Linked DNA regions of Lonchura striata. The protein of the gene in region 3 binds, or shares a complex with, the protein of the main gene of each other region. Links are inferred from orthologs where the notes say so. Each region holds a gene or a part of one and is shown on either strand. Other genes may lie near its edges.

The links.
Region 1: the proteins of PLXNB1 (region 3) and ARHGEF12 are in contact, whole or in part, in an NMR structure (PDB 2OS6), measured with the Homo sapiens proteins. The link is inferred for Lonchura striata from reciprocal best matches to the Homo sapiens genes PLXNB1 and ARHGEF12. Residues at the interface, in NP_001123554.1 of Homo sapiens: Glu2129, Lys2131, Val2132, Thr2133, Asp2134, Leu2135; in NP_056128.1 of Homo sapiens: Phe82, Gly83, Leu84, Thr85, Val86, Ser87, Gly88, Asp89, His127, Val131, Lys135.
Region 2: the proteins of PLXNB1 (region 3) and SEMA4D are in contact, whole or in part, in a crystal structure (PDB 3OL2), measured with the Homo sapiens proteins. The link is inferred for Lonchura striata from reciprocal best matches to the Homo sapiens genes PLXNB1 and SEMA4D. Residues at the interface, in NP_001123554.1 of Homo sapiens: Leu80, Pro81, Pro82, Glu87, Arg136, Pro137, Gly138, Asp139, Thr140, Tyr142, Gly178, Glu202, Lys205, Ala207, Gly209, Arg210, Ser212, Glu213, Arg235, Arg242, Asp359, Val360, Asn361, Ser362, Leu367, Pro368, Thr371, Tyr375, Ser379, Asp380; in NP_001358123.1 of Homo sapiens: Glu99, Lys100, Gly101, Phe158, Tyr179, Phe181, Leu182, Gly183, Ser184, Arg198, Tyr201, Ile203, Glu208, Val240, Leu264, Arg265, Thr266, Leu267, Gln268, Lys270, Thr347, Gln350, Ser351, His352, Thr353, Asp388, Gln392, Lys395.

The regions. Positions count from the first base shown.
Region 1 is NC_134625.1:8,620,904-8,627,974, forward strand, and holds the start of ARHGEF12 (rho guanine nucleotide exchange factor 12), read right to left. Parts: upstream 3,008-7,071; 5' UTR 2,557-3,007; coding exon 2,525-2,556; intron 1-2,524. UniProt on the Homo sapiens protein: May play a role in the regulation of RhoA GTPase by guanine nucleotide-binding alpha-12 (GNA12) and alpha-13 (GNA13). Acts as guanine nucleotide exchange factor (GEF) for RhoA GTPase and may act as GTPase-activating protein (GAP) for GNA12 and GNA13.
Region 2 is NC_134642.1:8,237,305-8,244,941, forward strand, and holds the start of SEMA4D (semaphorin-4D), read left to right. Parts: upstream 1-4,630; 5' UTR 4,631-4,701; intron 4,702-5,050; exon of another isoform or gene 5,051-5,068; intron 5,069-5,109; exon of another isoform or gene 5,110-5,377; 5' UTR 5,378-5,427; intron 5,428-7,637. UniProt on the Homo sapiens protein: Cell surface receptor for PLXNB1 and PLXNB2 that plays an important role in cell-cell signaling. Regulates GABAergic synapse development. Promotes the development of inhibitory synapses in a PLXNB1-dependent manner.
Region 3 is NC_134614.1:15,164,879-15,172,176, reverse strand, and holds the start of PLXNB1 (plexin-B1), read right to left. Parts: upstream 3,096-7,298; 5' UTR 3,012-3,095; intron 1-3,011. UniProt on the Homo sapiens protein: Receptor for SEMA4D. Plays a role in GABAergic synapse development. Mediates SEMA4A- and SEMA4D-dependent inhibitory synapse development. Plays a role in RHOA activation and subsequent changes of the actin cytoskeleton.

The DNA.
Region 1 (7,071 bases), on a different chromosome or scaffold from region 3:
TATTTAATGGTGATCATTTATATCAAGAGATATAAAATATGTCAAGGATTAGACAAGTGCAACCTGCACAAGGGAAATGTGACAGCTGTCAAATCATTACTGCCTTAAATTGCAGGGATAGCAAAGGAAATATCTGCTGTCTGTAATGTGGATTTAGGCAGCTCTATATATGCTAAATACAAATATGTAAAGCTAATATGGAGAAAAATCTAGGCCCAAGCTACCCTATTATATTCCTAATACCATCTGGCACGGATGCAAACTGGGTTTTCCTGGTTTAAGGCAATTCCCATCTCAATCCCACCAAGGAAGGTGATTGACAAACACAAAGAGAATTGAACATGTCAGATGATTTATGGATCTAATGACAGTGGAAGCATCATTATTTATATTGCACCTGCTTTACATTCTAAGCTCTAGAGGCAGATTGAAAAAGGCAACACAGAAAGTCCCTGGGCCTGAAGGGAAAGGGGAATGTTCTGCAGGGACAAGAGTGATCAAATCCTGCACAATGCTGGGGATGAAAAGGAACGGCAGAGATCGGGACAAACACGACCACCACATCTGGGGTTCTGCTGAAAGGTTCAGCCAGGGAATAAATCAGAAATCATCAGAGAATCCCAGAATGGTTTGGGCTGGGAGGGACCTTAAATCCCATCTCTTTCCCATCCCCCTGCCATGGGCAGGGACACCTTCCACTGCCCCAGGGTGCTCCAGCCTTGGACACTTCCAGGGATCCAGGGGCACCCTGTCACCATCCTCACCATCAATCTAACCCTCCTCTGAGTTTTCCACCGTTCCCCCTTGTCCTGTCACTCCAGACCTTTTAAAATAGTCTCTCTCCATCTTCCCTGTAGGCTCCTTCAGGTCCTGGCAGGCCACCCCAAAGCTTCTCTTCTCCTGGCAGAACCACGACCATGACTTTGTACCCCAGAGCTGGGGCTGCTTCAGGCCAGAGGTGGAAAATAGTGACAAGAAGAGATCCAGTTTCTCCACATTCCCCCAGCCATCCCAGAAATCCAAGGGTTGTGGGCACAGCTCCTCACCTGACATTAAAAGCCTTTTGATCCAAAACCTTAATGGAACACCAAACAGAAACATCCTCCTGACATGACTGAGAGCAAAAGGAAATGAGACATTTTTTATTTGGCTGCTCCAATTCAATAATGGAAAGTATTTTGTTTTACTAACAAGTAAATTAAATTCCCTGTTCTCGTGTTTTTCCTTTCCGTGCATCACTCAGCTGCTCCTCGGGATGAAAATCCTGTCGTTCTTTTTGATATCATGCAACTGCCACAAGACATATGGCCTGAAGTATGTAACAAAATCCTCACAAATCCACTGAAATGCCTTTTTACTGTCATTGCCTCGCCTGCTACAGAGAAAAACATCCTGCAACCCAAGAATCATTCATGCACTGCAAAAGAGAAAACTCCACTCGTACAAACTACAGAATTAATTGCCAAGATTGAATACTCTGTGAACAGTTGTAAACACAGATTGTACACAAGTCTGAGCTGTCCCAGAGCCCTTTGGACTGGGCTGACTTGTGGAGTCACGAAAAGGCCGGGTTTAAGTGAGAACCACACTCAGACTCTCTCCTGCCTGCACCTGGAGCCTAAAATTGGTGAGCTCAAGCCCCCAAAAGCATCACTGCTCCATCCCAGCCCCAGCTTCGCTGCTGTGCCAGAACTGCTTGGTCATGAAAGGCCAAAGCGAGGCCTTTGCCACACTCATTCACACCTTAACCACCAGCCAGACACTATACAGATACAAAAAAACACATTAAATGGTTCTTACAGCATACTGTGTCAAAAAAGGTATCTTTCCTTCCCATCCAAAAAAAATCTGAAGGCACTCATTCGCCCCAAAAGCACGTTAAAATGTTTCCTTCTTGACTTTTTTTTTTTTTTGTCACATTTTTTATCCCTTCCTCTGAAACACCTCAGTGCAAACGAGAGAACTGCAGAGGTAATGAAAGGCACCTGCAGAGCAGCCCAGAGGCTCAAGCAGGTATCTGAAGGCAGGTTCCTGCTAAGGTAGACACCAGCAGACATTCCTGCTTGTCAACTCTCCCTCCTGCCCTCACCTGGAGTGACCTCTCCGCAGTACTTGACCCAAGGAGACCCAAGTGCATCCTCAACACGCTCTCCCAGCTCAGGCTTGAGCTGGATACTAAATTCTGGTGGCTTCTGCTGCTCCAGCTCCGTGCAGGAACCCTTGCTTTCGGTGTTCCCCGCAGCACCAGCCCATCCTGGGAGCTGAGTTAGCACCCCTGGCTCCTACAAAGTCAGCCTGGCAGGCCTGAAAGCTGTTGGACTTGAAATACTCCGCTTTCAAAGTCAACCCAGTCGCTTTGACAGTCAAGACACCCTTGGCTCCCAGAGCCTCTGATTTAATCCTGCTTTTCTGATCCCGTCTGTCACTGAAGCCAGAACACGAAGTACGTGAGCTCTGCGGGTAGTCACACTTCAAAAAAAGGAAAAAAAAAAAAAAAAATCAAGGAATCTCATTTTATACTGACCTGTCCGTGATTGTGGACTGTGTGCCACTCATTGGAGCCTTTGGCAAGAAGTCGTATTATCCAATTTACATTTTACTCTTCTTGCAGGAATATGAACGAGGCTTTGCCCCTTACATGCACCGAGGTTCAGGATCCAGCCTTGCTCCAGAAGAGGCATGCACAGAGGACAAACTCAGTTCAAGGGCAGGAGAAGGGAACAAAAAAAAAAAAAAAAAAAAAAGAACCAACAAAAACCAAACCCAATCCAAAACAACTCCAAAACTCTTCTTTGCAGTCACCCAGAATATCCAAACCACGGAAGTGGGGCGCGGGGGGGATAAAGCAAAAACTCCAGCAAGGAAAAAAACTCCAACAACAACAACAACAAAAATAATCAACAAAACAACCTCGGCGGACGCGGGCGGGGGGTGGAAAAAAGAAGAAACCCTCGTGAAGAGGCGGGCGATGCTCCGAGCGCGGGGGCCCGTGCGGGCTCAGGGGCTGCGCTCGGGGGGCGGGCGGCGCTCCCCGCCCGCGGCCGGGCCCATCCCCGCTGCCCGCCCGGCCTCGCCCGCGGGGCTCGGGCAGGGCGGCCGCCTCTAGGCCCGGGGCTCCATGCCCCGCCGCTCGGCCTCTCGCTGCGGCCCTGCGCCGCTCTGCGCCGCGCTGCTCTCCCGGCCCGCTGGCGGCCCCGGCGCTGCGCGGCTGGGCGAGGCGGCAGCGGCGCGTCCCGGGAGCCTGCGCCGAGCCGGGCCGGGCCGGGCTCGCCCCTCCCCGGCGCCTCCGGGGGGCTCGTACCTCCGGCCGCTCCGCCCCGCCGCCGGATCCCTCCGCCGCCCGCCCTCCTCTTCCTCCTCTTCCTCCTCCCTCTCTCTTCCTTCTCCTGTTTCTCCTCCTTCTCCTCCTTCTCCTTCTTCCCCTCCTCCTTCCCCTCCTTCCCCTCCTCCTTCCCCTCCTTCTCCTCCTTCCCCTCCTTCTCCTCCTTCCCCTTCTTCCCCTCCTTCTCCTCCTTCTCCTCCTCCTCCTTCCCCTCCTTCTTCTCCTTCTCCTCCTTGCCCTCCTTCTCCTCCTTCCCCTCCTTCTCCTCTTTCTCCTCCTCCTCCTCCTTCCCCTCCTTCCCCTCCTTCTCCTTCCCCTCCTTCTCCTTCTCCTCCTTCCCCTCCTTCCCCTCCTTCCCCTCCTTCTCCTCCTTCTCCTCCTCCTCCTTCCCCTCCTTCTTCTCCTTCTCCTCCTTGCCCTCCTTCTCCTCCTTCCCCTTCTCCTCCTCTTTCTCCTCCTCCTCCTTCTCCTCCTTCCCCTCCTTCCCCTTCTCCTCCTTCTCCTTCTCCTCCTCCTCCTTCCCCTCCTTCTCCTCCTTCCCTTCCTTCTCCTCCTTCTCTGCCTCCTCCTCCTCCTCTCTCGCAGCCCTTTCCCGGTCCCTGCCCAGGCCTTTTCCCTTCGGGAAGCGTTTTCCAGACCCGCGGGCTGTTTCCTTTCGTCTCCGCTCGGTGGCGGCCGCTTCTCCCTCTCCCTGTGTCCCAGCTTTCCATCCCCCTGCGTCCCTAACCCGAGGAGGTTTCCCTTTTCCCTCTACCCGTTTTTCCATTTTTCCCCATCCTCCTGCGTCCTTAACCCGAGGAGGTTTCCCTTTTCCCTCTATCCCTTTTTCCATTTTTCCATATTTCCCCATCCCCTGCCCAACAGTATTCCATCCCCCTGCGTCCCTAACCCGAGGAGGTTTCCCTTTTCCCTCTACCCCTTTTTCCCTTTTTCCGTTTTCCCCCATCCCCCTGCATCCCTAGCCCGAGGAGGTTTCCCTTTTCCTTCTATCCCTTTTTCCCTTTTTTCCCTATTTTTTTTCCCCATCCCCTGCTATCCGACACTTTGCCGTGTCACCAGCGCTCAGGGCAGGGAGCGCCCGCGCCTCCATCTCCATGGAAAATATGACACCGGCGAAACTTGGAGCAGAAAGAAAATAAATAAGCAGCAAATTAAAAGAGTAGAAGTGCCAGGAGCTGTGCAGCGCGGAGCCTCGGGCTGTGCTGCTCACTCCCAGGCCTTTCGTTGTCCCATCCCGCGTTCCCCGCATTTCCCACGCAAGTTTCAAAGGGAATTTTTTCTTGGAGGTTAAGGGCAGCATAAATCCAAGAACTGATCCCTCCCTGCACGTACATTCCAGAAACACTGCGGCCAAGGGCCTGTTCCTGCTCCCCTTCAAAACTTCCAGTGCCAAAAGATGAGCCACGCGGGGTGTTGGGGCATTTAAATTTTAGCAGGTGAGGATTTCCTTCTCTCGGCCACAGGCTGAACACAAACATGTCCTTGCTGTAACTCCCTGCTGTTCATGTACACGGTCTGAGAGAGAAATTCCTGTTTCAAGTCTGCACAGAATCCCAGAATGGTTTGGGCTGGAAGGGATCTTAAAGATTATTTTGTTCCAACCCCCTGCCACGGTTCTTCTTCCACTATCCCAGGTTCCTCCAACCTGGCTTCGAACACTTCCAAGGATCCACCACAGCTTCTCTGGGCAACCTCACCACCCCCACAAGGAATTATTTTTTCCTCATATCCCACCTAAAGCTACTCTCCGTCAGTGTGAAGCCGTTCCCCCTTGTCCTGGCACTACAAGCCACTTGTTCTCAAACACCTGGAAATAACATCTACACCTGAGGACTTCAGGAAACTTCCACGCTACTCCTCCAGAAATGAAAGCTCGTGAGCAGCACAGATGTGGAATGAAAAGCAGGATATCTCCCCTGCCAGTAATTCCTGCCCCTCTGCACAAAGGAACTTACAGAACATCAGCCTCCTCCAGCAAAATGCCAGCAGACTAAAATAACCTTATTAGCTAATCCCAATCATCTAGGACACCACGCTTCTTCCCTTTAATTAATCTTGCCGGGATAGACTTCAAAGCTGGGACACTGGACTTGGAAAGAGGCTGGAAAAGAAAGGTTTTGGCTGGGCACACGGGACCGTACCTCTGGAACACGGAGCTGTGTCCTGCTCGCCGCGCGCATCAGGAAGCCGGCAGCCCGAAGTCTGAGCGCCCGAAGAATTTGTTGTTTTGATGGAGTTCAGAGCAAAGAGGGGAAGCGTGGGATGAAATCATTTTCTACATGATATTTCACATATATGCGCAGGACATTTATACTTCCTTTTTTGGTTTCCTTTTGGGGAAAACGGAGGCTTGGTGGGGGGAAAAATAAATAAATAAAGTGTGGGAGTGTGAGACAAGCGGCCACGTCTGCCTCTCCTTCTGCAGCTGTGTGCAATAGAGTCATCAGTGCTGATGAAGTGACTGAATGCCTCCATATATCTATATTTATTTATTATATATCTCTTTATTGCATCTTCTCTGCAATAAATCCCTCCCTGCTTTTAACTTTGGGAACATCGAGTACTGTGCCTGGAGAGGGGAAAGATCCTGGGAGATCTGATTCCTGGCAGGCCCAGCATTTGCATATTAGGCCTCAATGCTTTTTTATTACTTTAATTATATTTTATTGTGCATGACAACATAACGAGAACAATTAGCTGGAGGAAATCCTAAGACATAGATTTTCTACTTCTCTTCTCTGCAAATGCTGATTTTTTTTTTTTTTTTTGGAGGGAGTTGGTTACATATTTAGATTAAGATAGATGTCCATTTATGATAATTCTGTTTTACAGCCTGAAATATGGGGTAGGGAAATCAATAAGTAATTACAGTGTGCCCATTACTTTTTTTTTTTTTTTTTTGGCGCTCTGAAGCTGTCACTTGATCTGAATTTACACACAGAACCATCCCATGGCAGGAGGGTTGGAGCAAGATGACCTTTGAGGTCTCTTCCAACACAAAACCATTTTGTGATTCTCTAATCAACCTCCTCCATCTGTTTTTTTAGTCCATAGCAGAGCTAAGCAGGACCCTAAAATTGAGGAGTTTCATTCCTAAGGAGTACAATTCCATTCTTATTTTGCCTTAAAATAACGGTTAGATCCTTGGAGGTGCTTTAGAGGGGCTCCTGTAAAAATAAATTTATAAAGTGTGAGGATTCTTTGGCCAAATCCCCTTTCCCAGGCTCGCACCGAGGAGCTGTTGCCATCTGCTGGGAAAGCCTCGAATGGCTCCTCTAACCTGAGCTGCCGGGCAGGTAAAAACTCAGGAATTTGGGAAAAAAAAAAAGCATTTCCAAGCGCTTTGGGATCGTGGAGCTCCGAGGGGGGTTTGCACCGCTGTCAGCTCAGCATAAACAGCGAGGAAAATCAGCAAAAAGTGATGCTTTAAGGTTTTAAGTGTGGATAAACAGTGCCTGGATGCATTTTTCTTTCAGAAAAAAATTTCAATTTGTGTTTCAGATGGGATAATCGGCTGAGTTTCGCTGAGCTCCACCACAAAAATAAAGATTCTTTTGCTCCTTACAAATCATCAATTTCAAGCCAGTGAGAGAATGTTCAGGTATTTTGAACAGTTCTTTACACTCAGTACAAATTGCTCAGCCAGCTCCTGTTTTTCTGCTGCTTTTGGAAGCCAGCTGCCAAACCTTTACACCTTGGAGGGGAAAAGCACAGGGGAAATGATTCCCAAGTTCATTTCCCAAATGTGC
Region 2 (7,637 bases), on a different chromosome or scaffold from region 3:
CGTAATCAGAAATGATTCCTGTGATTGGTGATGACTCCATTAAACAATTTTCATTACTTTGATCTTTTTGGAAATGTAAATGCATTTTCAAAAAACATAAAAACAATATATTGAGTTTTAGTTTCTTCATTATTCTTAATGTACTCCATTATTGATGTTGCCTCATTGACCTTGTCCCCTGAGGTAAGCACTGCTGACACCTTTTTTATTATTTTTCTCATTAATAAACATGGCCTTCTCTAGGCCATGCACTTCTTCCGCCATGTAGAGTGGATAAAGCGTCTTTTATCATTCATTTTTTATTCATTGATTGTTGATTCTAAGTCTTTCCATGCCATCTTCCTACGAAAAGACCACTGGACTGGTTAGTTTCTTAATTTTGTAAGCATGCACATAACTGAGCTGTTGGTGTAAGACTTACAGGCTCCATATTTGGACACTGGTAAGTGAAAACACAAAATATTTGTTGCTGTTGTTTTGCCTATGAGCAAAGTATGTTATTAATGTAACTTGCTAGTAATATCTCATTGTAAAATACAAATGCTGACCCAGCATCAGAATGAGAGGAATCCCTACCACTTTTGCAATCCTTCTCCAAATCCACCATGTCCCTTATCCTTTTAGCAAACTTTCTAACAGGCTGTGCTGTGACATTTAATAGACTAGACTGCAGATGTCTAACTAATGGTTAGACATTAACCTACAGTGTAGCTCCCCTAAATCTGTTATTCCAGATTAGGAAATGAAATGGAAAATATTCTCTGTGACCTTTACAGTGCTCTTAGCCACACAGATCCACCAAAGGCAGAGAAAAAGACCTTCTTCCTCTGCCACGTCATCCAGACATGCACTTCCCCTACTCTACATCATCTAAATGCAGATGTCTGTGTAGCATTTACTTAGCTCCCTCTTCTCCTGTCTTAGGCATACAAACATGGTAAATACAGGGACAGTTTTAAAGTCTCTGAGTGTATAATTGCCATGTTTATCCATAATGATATAGGAAGTCTTCAGCCCAAAGAAACCCAAAAAACCCCAAGGTCAGGAGATAAAACTCCTTGACTATTATAATTTAGTTTCACTGCCTCTGTAATTGCAAAGTGAAGTCAATGCATTTTCTCTGCCTGATGGGGAGGATACAAAAGTAAAAGGTCAAGGCTTTATCCATCTGTGGTTCTGTCACTCACCTACTGTATAATCTTGCACAAATCACTTTGAGCAGTTGTGTATCAGGTTCCTAACTAGGACAGTTAATGGCATCTTCCTGCTCTGCAAATAATTTTACATCTATGTCAATTCTAGTAGCTTAATAATGTTAATCAATATTAATTTACTGGACAATGCTTTTAGATGCCTTTTGTGTGCTTACTTTTCTGTACTAAGGTTTCCAAAACTGTTTTTATTGTCATGACTGTAAAATGTATTTTAAATCTTTATTTTTATTATGTTATTTTCCCAAAATTGGTAGTGAAAAGGGATTTTTTTTCAGCAATGTGTGCTCTTTTCCTCTAATGCTGGCTTATATCAATGATGAGTGATTTGAAAAGTCACGCCATCATAGCAATATAAAGGTGTAGCTTGAAACCTTGACTTTATTCAGAATTGTTCACAGTTGCACTCATTCAACCCAACTATTTTTTACTTTATTCTCTCATCTATTCATTCTCTCACGCACCCTGCTACTGACCTATTCCCTGTATTATGTATCGGTTTGCAAACCTCTGGGCATGTTCAATGCCCTTTTCACTGACTTACTAAAAACCTACCACCTGTTCACTCACTCACTCTTGGACAGACCTGCCCTCAGCCTCAGACCTGGCTTCTGAGACAGTTTTAGTCTCTCTCAGTCCTGACTCTGCTCCTGTATCTTCTATCCTGCAGCCTATTTGTTTGTGAGTTTAATTAAGGACTGCAGGTTTAAGAGCACCATCAGTTGTTACAGCTTTCTTTAACCCCTTTTTCTTTCTTAATTGCTTATTTATTTTTCCTGGCACAGATTTGACACAGCTTGCCTAGACTTAAAATACCTGTCTGTATATTCAACCCCAACACATTGTCTGAAGTAAATGTGTTAGGACTGAGGCAGTCTTTATATACTATTACTTTGCAGAAAGCATTATGTGTCCTTTTGAAGATTAGACTTTATTATGCTTATAGTAAAGGTTTTTAAAAGCATGTTTCCTCCATGTCCTTGGAATACCCATTATGGAATTGATGTGGACATGTATTAACAATTGTTCATTATTTGATCTCATTGCAACAGCATGCAGCATTTGGGAGATTATTATATTTTTTTGGAAAACAAAATCAGTTATAATTACTATGAGGACCAGTGTCTTCAGCCCTACATCACTAGCTCAGATTAATATACAACCCAGATTAGCATTACAGACCTCTGGAAACTTCTCAAATCTGTGTCAGAGGCCATTTGTTTTTTATTCCTGTGAAATAAATGACTTATAATTGTAACCAAAAGGAATTTTCAGTGGTGCAATTCATGGTACCAGCTGTAAGTTCCCAACACTGTTATTACTAGTGTTTTCTTTTTCCCATCAAATCCCATTTGGTAATATATACTTGAAAGAAGGGTCTAAATGTGATTGAGAATTTGCCATTTGACAAGGTACAAATATCAATTCCTTGTTTCACCTCCAACCTTCAAGTCTGTAAGACTCTCCAGGTTTCACTGAGAATGGAGATTGAAAGCTACTTCATAAAAATTAACAATATAATTCTTAAAAGGTAATGACGTATTACTTGGATAGAGTCAGAAATAATGGGAATTTTGTGTTTGTGCTAGCCTTTGCTCCAGTTCCCTTGTGCCACTCCCTGGTTTTGGAAATTTGTACAGACTGCAGGCTTCATGGGGAAACCTGACAAAATCCCTGTGATTTTTCTACTCAGAGCTAAGAATTGCCCAAGTCTAGATTCTGTAAAATGAGAGATTAAAAAAGCATCTTTGTTTCTTCCCTTGTAATATAATTTCATAGTTGTATTCCCTCAGGACATGCTTAAAGTCTTGTCTACACTGGAGGGTTTTGTCAGCATATTAATACCAGCAGTGAGTCCCAGTGGAGATGCAGGTTAATCTTCTGATGGTATAAATTATGGCAATTTACCAAATACAGTATGATAAGGATTTTTTACCATGCTACTGTATTTTCAGCAAGGATTTTCTGGCACGGGTTCATTTCACCCTCTCATTTATGCCCCTTTCGGACTCAGGTTAATCATCAGAAGTGGTTCTGCCCCTTCCTTGCAGACCATGTCTTCTCAGCCGCTCCTGCTGCCATCTCCCAGATGATTATGGGTATGATTACTTTCTTTTCCATGCTTCACATCCAATGTTTTGATGGCATTACGACCATATTTGATGTCAATGGCGTGATGAACACTGGTTATCCATTGTTAAGATGGACTGTTACATCACCATTTTGAAAATGTAGTGCAGGAAAACTCGTTTCCCACTGTTTACCACACAACAGACTGTTTGCCGGCTATGCTAGTAGCCTCCTTCAGATGCTACCATTTCGTAGACCCTGAAATATCAAGGTTGCTTTGCATGTAACTTCCTTAATCTGAAGTTATTACCATGCCTCCATGCTTTAAGAGGCTAGATCTCCTCAATGATTTCTTCCTGATGTTATTTCTTACCTACAGCTAATATGAATTATTAGAGATTGACTAGCATGTTATTGTAAAAATACAGTATTGTGAAATGCCGGAATTTAAAGGTCAGGCAGTAAAGCAAGTGCTATTGTCTGACAAGCTAAATATTTTGTCCAGTCTTGCTTCAATGACTACTGCTAACCAAACTATGGCAATTTCATGACACTGGTATCACCTGTTCCGCAGCAATAAAACAAACCAAACCCCAATCCAAAACCAGAGACCCATGTGTCGGTCCATGCCATTCATCTGAACAGTCACACCAGGCGTGCAGGGACATGACGGTAATCAATAGCTCATCAGTGACTCAGCAGGATCACCGCGGGTGAGATCTGTGCATTTACTGACCTATTTTCTGTCCTCCTTTCATATACCGCCGAGCAGTCACCTAAGCGCACCTATGCCTCTAAGGTGCAGTAATTCTAGTAGCAACGGCTTATGACACGAGTTATTTCACTCCCATGGTACCAGGCTGGATCCCAGGTGCGGTTTTCCCTGCGGTCTGCGGCGAGCGGATCCCCCGTGCCCGCGGAGGGGCGGAGGAGGAGCGGCGGAACGCGACAAGCGGCGCTGGGTGCGAGGGCGGCGGCGGCTCCGGCCCGGCCGAGCCGCGGGACGCCGCACCTGCTTTCGGCAGGGACAGCCCCAGGGACGGGCGGGGGCAGCGGTTCCGCCGCCGCCGAGGCCGGCTGGTGTCCCAGCGCCGCCGCCGTTAACGGGGCCGCGCCGCCCGCGGGGGAAGGGCCGAGCACCACCGAGCTGAGGGCGGCTCGGGCCCCCGCCAAACCCCCGGGAGCCAGCCCAGCCGGGCCCGCCCCCAGCTCCGCTCGGCCGCCATACTGCGGGGCGACCCAAACTTGTTACACCTCCTCCTCCTCCTCCTCCTCCTCCTCCTGCCGCCGCCGCCGCTCCCGCCGCCGGCCTGCCCCCAGCGGCGCGGGAGGAGGGGGCTGCGCCGGCCCAGCCCCAGCCGCGGGGAGGGCGCCGAGGCGGGCGGGGGCCGTGCGAGGGGAGCGCCGCAGCGCCCCGCAGGTAGGAGCGCCCGGCGGGGCGGGCCGGGCCGCGGGAGGCGGCGGGCGGGAGCGTTCCGTCGCTGGGGCAGCGACCGTCCGGCCCCGCCGAGGTGGGGCTGCGGGAGCCGGGCGCGGGCGGCGCGGCCGCCCCTACGGAACGCAGCCCGTCCTGCCGCCTGACGGGGCCCGGCCGCCGCCGCGCTCGGGCGGGGGGCGAGGGCGCTGGCAGCCCCCGCCGGCCACGGGGCCGGAGCGAGACGAGAGGAGGAGCCTGCAGCCGTAGCAAATGAGCGAGGGCTGCCAGGTTTATAAATCTGCTTTTCCTCCCCCCCCTCCGAGCCCCGCTGACTCCGGCGGCGACGGGCGGGCGGCTGCGGCTCCGCCAGGTGCGTGCCCGGGGTGGCGGTCGGGGCCCCGCCGTCCGCGCCTGCCGCACCTGCCGCGGGGGCGGGGGCGCGGCCGAGGGTGGTGAGGATGGATGCGGGGCGTTCTCGCCCGGCTGAGGAGCAGTCGGTTTCCAAGGGCCAGCAGCTCAGGTTGCCAGGAGTGTGTCCCGGCGCTTCGGGGAGGCCGCTGTCTGCTGGGAGCCGCCGTCCCTCGCTGAGCGAAGAGCCGTGCGCGATACCGGGTGCTTGCTGTCGGGTAACCGGCTGCACGTGTTCTGAAGCGCTGTTATGTGCTGCTTTATTTTTTAGCTGTCAGGAGAGTTTGAATCGGGTCTCCGCGGAGGTGCTGAGTTTGCAAGGTACGTGTGAAGAGAGTGTCTTCTGTCCCCATTTGCCTTTTCGGCTAATTCCGAGAGGATGTCTTCACTGCTTCCCGGAGGTGTGGGTTATTGCGTGGTGTTTTCTGCGTATACACAAATACGCATCATGGGCGTTTAAGGGAGAGGATTTGAGTGGATGAATGCAGCCGTGGTAACTTCATTGTTGCAGGTCCTTTCTATTACATGACTGCCTTTAGCAGGGAGGGGAGTAGAATTTTGATCCTGCCCTGGTGTAGTCCGGAACCTGATGGATCTGTAGATTGAAGGGATTTTTGAAGTCTGCTTTCCGGTTTAATGCTGAAACATTTTCCTATTTTCCTTCATGTCTTTATTGTCATGTACCTCTTACGGAGAGTTACTTCGGCTTAAAAATGTTTAAACCTTTAAGTTTATAGCACTCAGGTATTTCTAGTAGCTCTGAAAATCAATGTAGCAATAATGCATCTTTTTTAAACAAAATTAGAATTCTCACAGTAATTAGCACACGTCTTTTGAATGCTGTGTGCCCATCAGGCTCAGAAATAGCTACTGATCTCATACTCCCTTTTGGATACCTGTATGAAGGTTTTGTTAGAGAACAGTTTAATGACTTCTTTTATTAGAAAGAGTGCGAGCTCAGGCAATTACGCAAGTGCGCCTAAAGGAAGCTGTGCTGGCTGCGTGGATGGCGAATGTGGAGGCCGAGCCGGAGTGGGAGTATCATTTACAAACGGAGTCAGAAAGGGGCATTGTAAGGGAGAGCCGAGTGGCTCGTGTCGGGTGAAACACTGTACGTAGGGAGGAGTGTTTGTACCGTGTGCTGCCTGGGACGAGCAGGCCATGTATGGATGGCCACTCATTCTTTCTGGTAGCAGAGATGAGTTATAGGTGGCTATTTCCACTGGAAGCAAACGGATGGCATGGGAATGTGTTACTGCGTTTATATTCTTAGAGGATTGACAGATGAACTCTGTCTTTACTATCATCTCTTGGTGTGTAGAGGGAGTATTTCACCATCTCTCTCCTCCTCTGAAATGATTACATTATATACCTTTATCTGTGATCCAGGATTGCTACAGAGTCTGCTGACAAAAGCTGCTTCCATTCATACCTACCAAAATAGGTCTATACTGGTTTTTAAATTTCTCTTGTGTTTTTTTAAGAAGCAAAAACCATTGTAGCTAGTGGGGAGGGCAGTAGCTACTTCCACAACAAATTAAGTGTTTGATATGAATGGTTCTGTTTCGAAACTCGAACACTGATTCATAGGTTTTTCTGGACACTTAAGTACAGGTGTGCCCACAGGCTTAATTTAATATGCTGTGTTGCCATCTCTCTGCTGGTATTATGATTCAGTCTCCTCTCCTCCCCCCCAGCCCAGTCCCTGCATAAACAGCTATCACATTGAACACTTGATAACTTTTCTTGTTAACCTTGTATGGATACAGCAGTACCCTGCCAAAATGTGTGGATTTATACCACTAAGAGGTCCTGCAAACAGAAGAGATGTTCTGGATGCCCTGGCGCATCCCATATTGGCCTGCCTCCTGAGCAGCTGAGCCTCAAAGTTCCCTGCTCCATGCAGCCTTTTGCTGGGGCGAGCTGGAGAACTCCAGAGGATCTGTCATTTGCTGAAGGCCACTTGGGTGGAGTTGAAGGCTGCACTGTGCTTGCTCTGCAGCACACTCTTGTCCTCTCTCCTAGCTGTTTTAGGGGGTGTGTGCTAAATGAATATTTTTGTTTTAAAATGCATTTTCCTAGCTGTTCTCTTGCAGTGAAGCAAGTGGGAGGTCTCTTTCAGTCCATGTCAAAATCAGTTCTTATTCTGGGCTGCTAGCATTAGATTTAATACTTGCATATGTCACCTGCTTTGCAGAAGGTGTTGAATAAGTTGATAGGTGGTTGTTCCATAATCTCATTTTTAAGGATGGCTTTTTAAAATAGGACTCTAAATCAGTAGAAATAAAATCTTGGAGCATTTCTATCATACTTACATTACCTTGGAACTCCACCAATTGTTTTTAGCTTTGGTTTTCTCCAGGAAAAAGGGAATTCCAAGCTAGTTGTTGCAATAGGGATTTTGTAGGTAACCAGAATATAAAGTTCTGAATGTGCAGAGGTGAAGTTACTTACGCCAGGTTTTGCTGTGCAAAGGTAATGAAATAATTACCAAAGTTGACTAACATGTCTTTTAAGCCTCCAGTGCTTCC
Region 3 (7,298 bases):
ATTGTGTCACGGGACTGTGCACGTGCTCCCACTGCCTCAATCACTTGTTTCTGAAAAACACATGTAAGAATTTATAGGAATTGTCTTCCAGCACTGAGATGAAACCAGACAAAGCTCAAATAATGATCAATATGAATCTTCTCTAAAGACATCATCACAACCATCAGGTCAAAGACGCCTCCAGTAACAGGACAGGGAAAATGATACCAGCACAATGAAAGACCAGCTGGCACATTCCCATAAAGGCAAAAGCAGCCCTCCTGTGGTTTTCATGAACAGCAGAAGATGAATCCTTTCAGATACAGTAATCCTGCAATCAGATACTCACAAGAACAACAAATAAATGCAAATCAAATCCAGGGCTTTAACAGATTATAGGGAATGCAAAGGAGAGTCAGTAGAACACACCAGATCCCAGCACGCAGAGCACAAAGACGTTTCACTGAAGATCCAGGTGAGCAAAAAGGGCACCAGTCCAAGCCCTGCTTCCTGAAACTAGCTTGTATCTAGAGGGCTAATTCTTACAAGGAAGCAGGCAGGCTCATGCCTCCTCTGCCTGCTACCACCCTGCACAGCCTCCAAGCTGGGATGAATCAAAGTCCTATCATCTTCCTCCAAGATGCCCTTATGCAAGTTTGGGAGGGTTCAGCTCACAACTTGGCTACAACAAACAATTTGAAGTTTCAGGAGGAAAAAAACCAACAGCTACAAACAAAAACAGAACAGATGGAGAAGCTGTCAGTGAGGAGAAGAAACTGATGTCCTTGTGAGTTTGCTTTGATAGGCAGCAGGAAGGACAGAGACAGAGAAAAAGATGAGAGAAGAGAAATAATGTCAAACTACCCAATTCAGCAGTAAAGCTTTTACCAGAAAAAAATGTCAAGTATTTCTGGGGAGTGGCTGCTTCATCTTCTTCTGAACTTGTCCTCGTCTGTTGTTCTCCCTCTCTAGCAGACACTGAAACGTACACTGAAAAAGACATCATGCTTCCCTATACCCATCTTTGGCTAAAGAAACTCTCCAGAAATCAAACAGCAAGAGTGGAAGACAGAAAGTGCAATTACTTTTGTCTTCTATTGGACAGCGCTGGATAGCACACACCCCACACAGGCAACCTGGGTGGGTGCTTTTTCCTGCAGAGCACACCCAACAAACAACTGGCACTGCTTAATCTGGCAGGCAGCCTCTCTGCAGGCTCACGGGGCCACCTTCGGCAGCAACAGATACTTTTCAGACTCGTTTAGTCCCTACAGGCTCCGCTGGCATCGCCAGGAAAACCCAAGCGTGCCAGCAGCAGGAACACTCCAGCAACAACCCAGCTTCACACAAAGACTGGCACTGAAGGGAACAGCTCTGCACACTCATTACAGCCCTCTGTCAGCTATTCCCTCTGCCCTTATATGGGAACATCCCGTGGCCCCGCTGGGAATATGATGCTGTTGGTGGACATGAAAGGTAAGGCAATACCTGAGCTGTCAGCAGGCGAGGGCAGAATTTTTCTGTTCTGAAAAGCAAGCAGAGTCTTGGAGCCTGAACTCTTTACAGCATTCACATGAGAGAAAGCAGAGATTAAAAGTGTCAACTGCTGACAGTCTGCACCCACCTTTCTCAAGGGTTATGCTGGTGATTTTAATCTTATTAAATATTGTTAATCGTATTACTAACCTAACTCTTTTCACGTGTTAGGAAGAAATTTAAAGAGAAAATTCCATATATGACTGCGCTATAGTAAATGCTTTCTGGCCAAATCTCAGTTCAGGGCAAGTCCCTGGCTTACAGATTCTGGCTCAGCTGTACACAGGTGTGGATGTGCATAGAAATAGTCTGCTCCGCACCAAACTACCTACAAGTCACCTTCTCTGCCAGATTCTTCTCAATCCATAACTTGTTTGCTCTCTTCTCCTGCGATTCTGCTAGGCATTGCTGGCCTCTCAAAGTGACCTTATTAAAACCTGTGAAATTCCATGCCCCATTTGTAGTAAGGGGAAACACCAATTTCCCCATTACAATGCAAAACATCTCAGTGCATCAGCTTCCCCTTGAATCAGGGGGAATGCTTCCATCACTGGCTTAGCTCCCCGATGTCACACAGACACATCATTAACATAAGTCATCGATTTCTGCATTTCATACACAAGGCAGAGCACTTCTGTGATCCCTGTTCAAAAAGTGAGGTCACAAATGAGCACATCACATTCAGCCTTGCACAGAATAGAGCACTTGTTTAAGTAAAATACTGACCCCGCTGTTTTACAACACGCAGGGTTGTAAGCCCCTTCCTCTTTGTAACTAGAGCAGCACTCCACATACTCTCCCAGGACTACTCCTGTTCCAGACTGCTCCCTGAGATAAAACAGCAGTCACAGAAAGTTTAGATTTAAAAAAATAAAGATCTCAAATTGCAACTCCTGGAACACAAAACACACCTGCTCAGAGGGGCCCAAACACTTGCTGCAAACTCTTTCGAAAGGAATGCGCTCAAGGTGGAAAACGAGCTCTCCGACCGGCAGGAATTACCCAGCAGTGCGCACCGAGGAGCGGGGCCGGGGCCGGGCAGCTCTTCCAGCGCGGCCGCACGGGCTGCCCGGCGCGGTGCCGCCTCCCGCCGAGCCGTCCCCGGCCGCGGGGGGCTCGCCCGGTCCCGCTGCTCCCCGCATCCCGGCACTGCCACCGCCGCCGGAGGGGCTCGCCAGCCCCGCCGCCCGCTCCTGCTGCCCCTCCGGGCGCGGAGCCGCGGGACCCCCGCCCTCCTCCCCGCAGAGCCCGCCGCGGGGGGCGGCCAGGAGCGGGGAGTTTCCCAGCCCACCGGAGCCCCCTCGCCCCGCCCGGGAGGCGCCGCCGCTCCGGAGGGGCCGCGCCCATCCCCCCACGCGGAGACAAAGCGCGGTCCCCGGGCGGCACCTGCCGCCGGCCGCTGACCCCCGGCAGCGCTTCCCCGCTCCAGGCCGGGCGCGGCGGCAGCAGCCGCCCACTCTCCCCTGCCCGCGGCCCCGGTGCCCGCCGCCCCTCACCTGCCGGGCGGCCGCCCCGCTCCGCTCCCGCCGCCGAGCGCTGCCCGCACCGAGCCGCGGAGCGCCCGCCCCGCCCGCTCCCCGCCGGCCGCCCCGCCCCCGCCGCGCTCCTCCAATAGCAGCCGCCCGCTCCGCCGAGGCCACGCCCCCAAGGCGGCCCCGCCCCGCAGGATCCGGCTGCCCCCTCCCGGCACGCGGCCGGCGGCGAGACCCCATTGGCTGGCGCAGGGAGGGGGCGTGGCCAGCGGCCGCTCCGCGCCCCGGGCCGTGCCCGGGATCCCCGCGCCGGGGCCGGCGGCGGCCGGGGGCTCCCGCTGCCGCCTCCCGCTGGGGATCCCGCCGGGGATCCCGCTGCCGGCTCCCGCCTGGGGCTCCTGCTCCCGGCTCCCGCCGGGGATCCCGCCGGGGATCCCGCTGCCGGCTCCCGCCTGGGGCTCCTGCTCCCGGCTCCCGCCGGGGATCCCGCCGGGGATCCCGCTGCCGGCTCCCGCTGCCGGTTCCCGCCGGGGCTCCCGCTGCCGGCTCCCGCCTGGGGCTCCTGCCCCCGGCTCCCGCCTGGGGCTCCTGCCCCCGGCTCCTGCCGCCGGCACCAAGCGAGGCACGGGCACCGACACTGCTCCGCACGCTGCCGCCACAACCAGCGGCGGCTGCCGGCCGGCCCGAGTGCACAGCGCTGCGCCAGAGGAGTCCGCGGCGCCGCGGATGAGAGCTGGGCATAAAGCTGCGTATTTTGGAAGAAATGGCAGCGTTTGTCTCGTCTCCGCGTTTGTAGCAATGTGACTTTGCAGTTAGGCTCTCAAGCCTTTGTGCTCGGCTCTCCCCAGCCGAGAGGTGCGGGTGAGCTGCAGCGGGCAGGGGCACAGGGAGCAGAACCTGACAGCAAACCTGACAGCAAACCTGACAGCAAACCCAGTTTGTCCCCCTACACACACAGCATCGGGAGGATGAGGCACAGCCCAGCTCCCGTTTGCAGCGCATGTGGGAACCAGCACATGAGCGAAATGGAAGAATGTGACAAAAGCATAGTTATCTCTAGTTGCAAAACAGCGAAGGACATACCATTCCAGCTGAAAGTCGGTGGAGACAAAAGCACCATAAAGCAGAAGCGCCTGAAGTGATATGTGTAATATAAACTGACTGCTGGTTTTGTGATTTTTATTCCTGTGAAGCTGGAAGCTCCAGTTATGGGCAGAGCAGAGGCTGGTGCTCTGTGTAAGAGACAAAGGCATTACTTACCGCTGAGAACTGACTGCATAAAATCCTCTCTCTGAATTAGGGGTAAGTTCTGTCAGTAACAGTTCTACAGAGGGACAGAATTAATGCTCCCATTTTTCTCACTCACACTGTAACTTCTGTGTTTCCCAGATGTGCTGTACTCTGCTGTGTTGTTGATCAGCGAATATACAGTTAGTCTAACAAATGACTTGCTATACATGCAGTGACTGCCTGTAAGTACTTGTCATTTGCCTGCTGAGCTGACTGCCAGATGTTTGGCAATCCCAGACAAAAGATGGAGTTATGCCTTAAGCACCCAGCCACAAATTTTGTGTGGATGAAAGAAAACATCTCTGAGGATGTGAAGAAGCGATTCAAGAGCTGTAGGTAAAAGGAAACTGAGGAAGAGTGCACTGGCCTGGGTTGTGCAAAGTACAGAATTTGCCTTATGCTGGGGTGCCCATCACTTCTCCTTTTTGGCTGTAGATGAAGCTACAAATCTCCATTGAAGACATAATGCTGCTCTGAAAGTCTGAATCGGTCTTTCCTCCCACGTTCATTTCTGACATTTCAGAGGGACGTAGTTGGTACAAATCCCACGTTCAGAAGTGTCATTAAACATCTACTGTCTTTGTTACAATACATCAGTCTCTCTTACTCCCAGCCCCCAAATTTTATGAAGGAAAAAATATGTCTGAAAGCTTAGAGATGCTGAACAATCCCCAGGATCTGGCAGCATGATCATGGTCTCCCAAAGAAAGGATTATTTCAGAGGCAACTACTGGCTGCCTCTCTGGACCTTTGCTCCTTGGCCCTTCAATATGCTGAAGAGTCCTTGGAGCATGCTGTATGCAGAGCCCATGAGGATTCCCCTGAGGAGATGATCCCTTACTTGTTCTTCCCCCAACACAGAAAAAGCCATCCTATTACCACACCCTGCTCACTGAAATGCTCTTTAGCTTAGAGCTCACTGAATTATCATCTCACCAATCAGACACAATTTAACTGCACTTAAAATGCATCTGCCAAAATCCAGTTTTGGTGACTAAGAGCATTAAAAAAAAAAAAAAATCTCCTAACTTTTCTTTGCTCCAACCCATTCCTGACTCAAAACACTAATCTGCTTTGTGCATTTTCTCCAGAGCCAGTCCCAACCTGCAGCCCCTTCTGTCTGGTAAAAAACATCTGCAAGCTTCACTTAAAAAACAGCAAAACCCCCTATGAGAGCACATTTGAAAGGAGAGGCTTTTCCTTCTGTCCCATGGCAGGGTTGGCAGGGAACTGGATATAGGGCCTGCCTTGGGAGCAGGGCAAGAAGAACTCCTGTGCACTTTAGGGATGTTACAGTGCCCCCCTCCCACCCCTCCTACAGCCCTTCTGAGAGACAAGGGTGTTGTAAAACCACTGTGGGATTAACCATTCCCCCTTCTGGGAAGAGTTTTTATCAGTCTGCACAAACATTTTGCAGTTCTTAAAAAAAAACCCCAAACAAACCAATCAAACCCTGGAGGAAAAGCTATTTCTCAAACATTATACAGCTGTGAAAATGGTGTCACACAAAGAACAAACATTTTGAGGAACAAGTGAAAAAATTTTTTCTTTCCATTTGTTCAGGTTTGTTTTGTTGTGTTGCTTTTAGTATATTTAAATCCCTAAAGGATCCTTTTCTGTAAAAACTCTTGTTAATGTCTGGTTCTAAGCAGGTTAGCTAAGTTTGTTTCATAACTATTACAATAATCACAAGGCAAGCAGCTGCTTATGCTCCTTTTGATTTCCTTCCTACTCTTCCTCCCCTCCAAGCAGGAGATGAGACAAGTTTAGAAAGTCACAAGGGATATGTGAATACTGTCTGTAGCTTCTGGGAATGAAGTGTATTTAGAGCAGTAATTCAGGGACCAGCTGAAGGTTAGCTACATCTACCCTACTTCATATCTGACCCCATTCCTTTCAAGCTTTCAGTTGTCAGAATATTTAGAAACAGCATTAAGGTATTTGTTATGGTGATTTGGGTACCTACAGATCTGCTGGCAGCAGCCTGTTGATATTTAAGGATCTGATTTTGAGTACAAAAAATAGCCAACACCCCAGAACCTGCAGGGATAGAGCAGGAGACTTTGAGCACACACATATTTGCATGGGTTTGCCTTCTCCCTGCAGAACACAGCAAAACAAGCTTGGGACGCTTGTGGCAATCCCTTTATCTTGGAGTTCTGCTGCTGTGTTTAAGCAGAGACCTTCTCAGATTATCCAATGCCAAGCACCAGAAATCTCACTTCTCTGTGCTTTATGAGTGAGGTCATGAATGTAACTTGCTAGCAAAAATCCAGCAATAAAATACAGTTCTAAATATAATGTGGACAAATCCAGCATTGTCTGCCTTTTCTTAGCTCACAAACCTCATTCCTACAGCAAATCTCAAACCTCTTCCTGAGGTAAACAGGACATCTCTACTACTCCTATGCTCCACAAAGAGGGAAGTATTTGTTTTTAGAGGGAATGTTGTAAAAGGAACTGTCTTTTCCAAACAAACAAAGAAATCAACAGGAGCACCTGCAACTTCCGACCAGGATCCTACAATGTTGGAACATTCAAACTGGAAGTATTAATAAATAAATATATATCCTGATTGTTACATTACATCTGCTTTTGTCCTGTCTTCTTAAGCAACATTTTCTAGTTCTCTCATGAGTGGAAGGAAGGGCAACTTTTCTCTTCAGAATGCACCTACTGTTAGAAGTCTGCAGTGACCTCATTCAAAGTTATTTCCATAGCCACAAGCTGTTTGCTTTTGAGTTACTGGTGGTTTCTCAAGGAGCAGTAAGAACCCAAAATAGCTTAGCACAGGCCAAGCTCAGGCCACTGCCACCCATTTTTCTATAGTTAATATCTATCAAAGGGCTTCCTGTTGCTCTTACCAGGTTCTCCCTAACTCAGCTTCTGTGTCTGGCCTGACAGAGGAACTAATCTGAATGAGCACTGGCTTCCTCTGACCTACCCACTGCACCCAGGTCAGTCCCTGGCCTCACCAGTCCTGTACATAATTTTGCAACCACCATCCCCCTCGGATGAGCA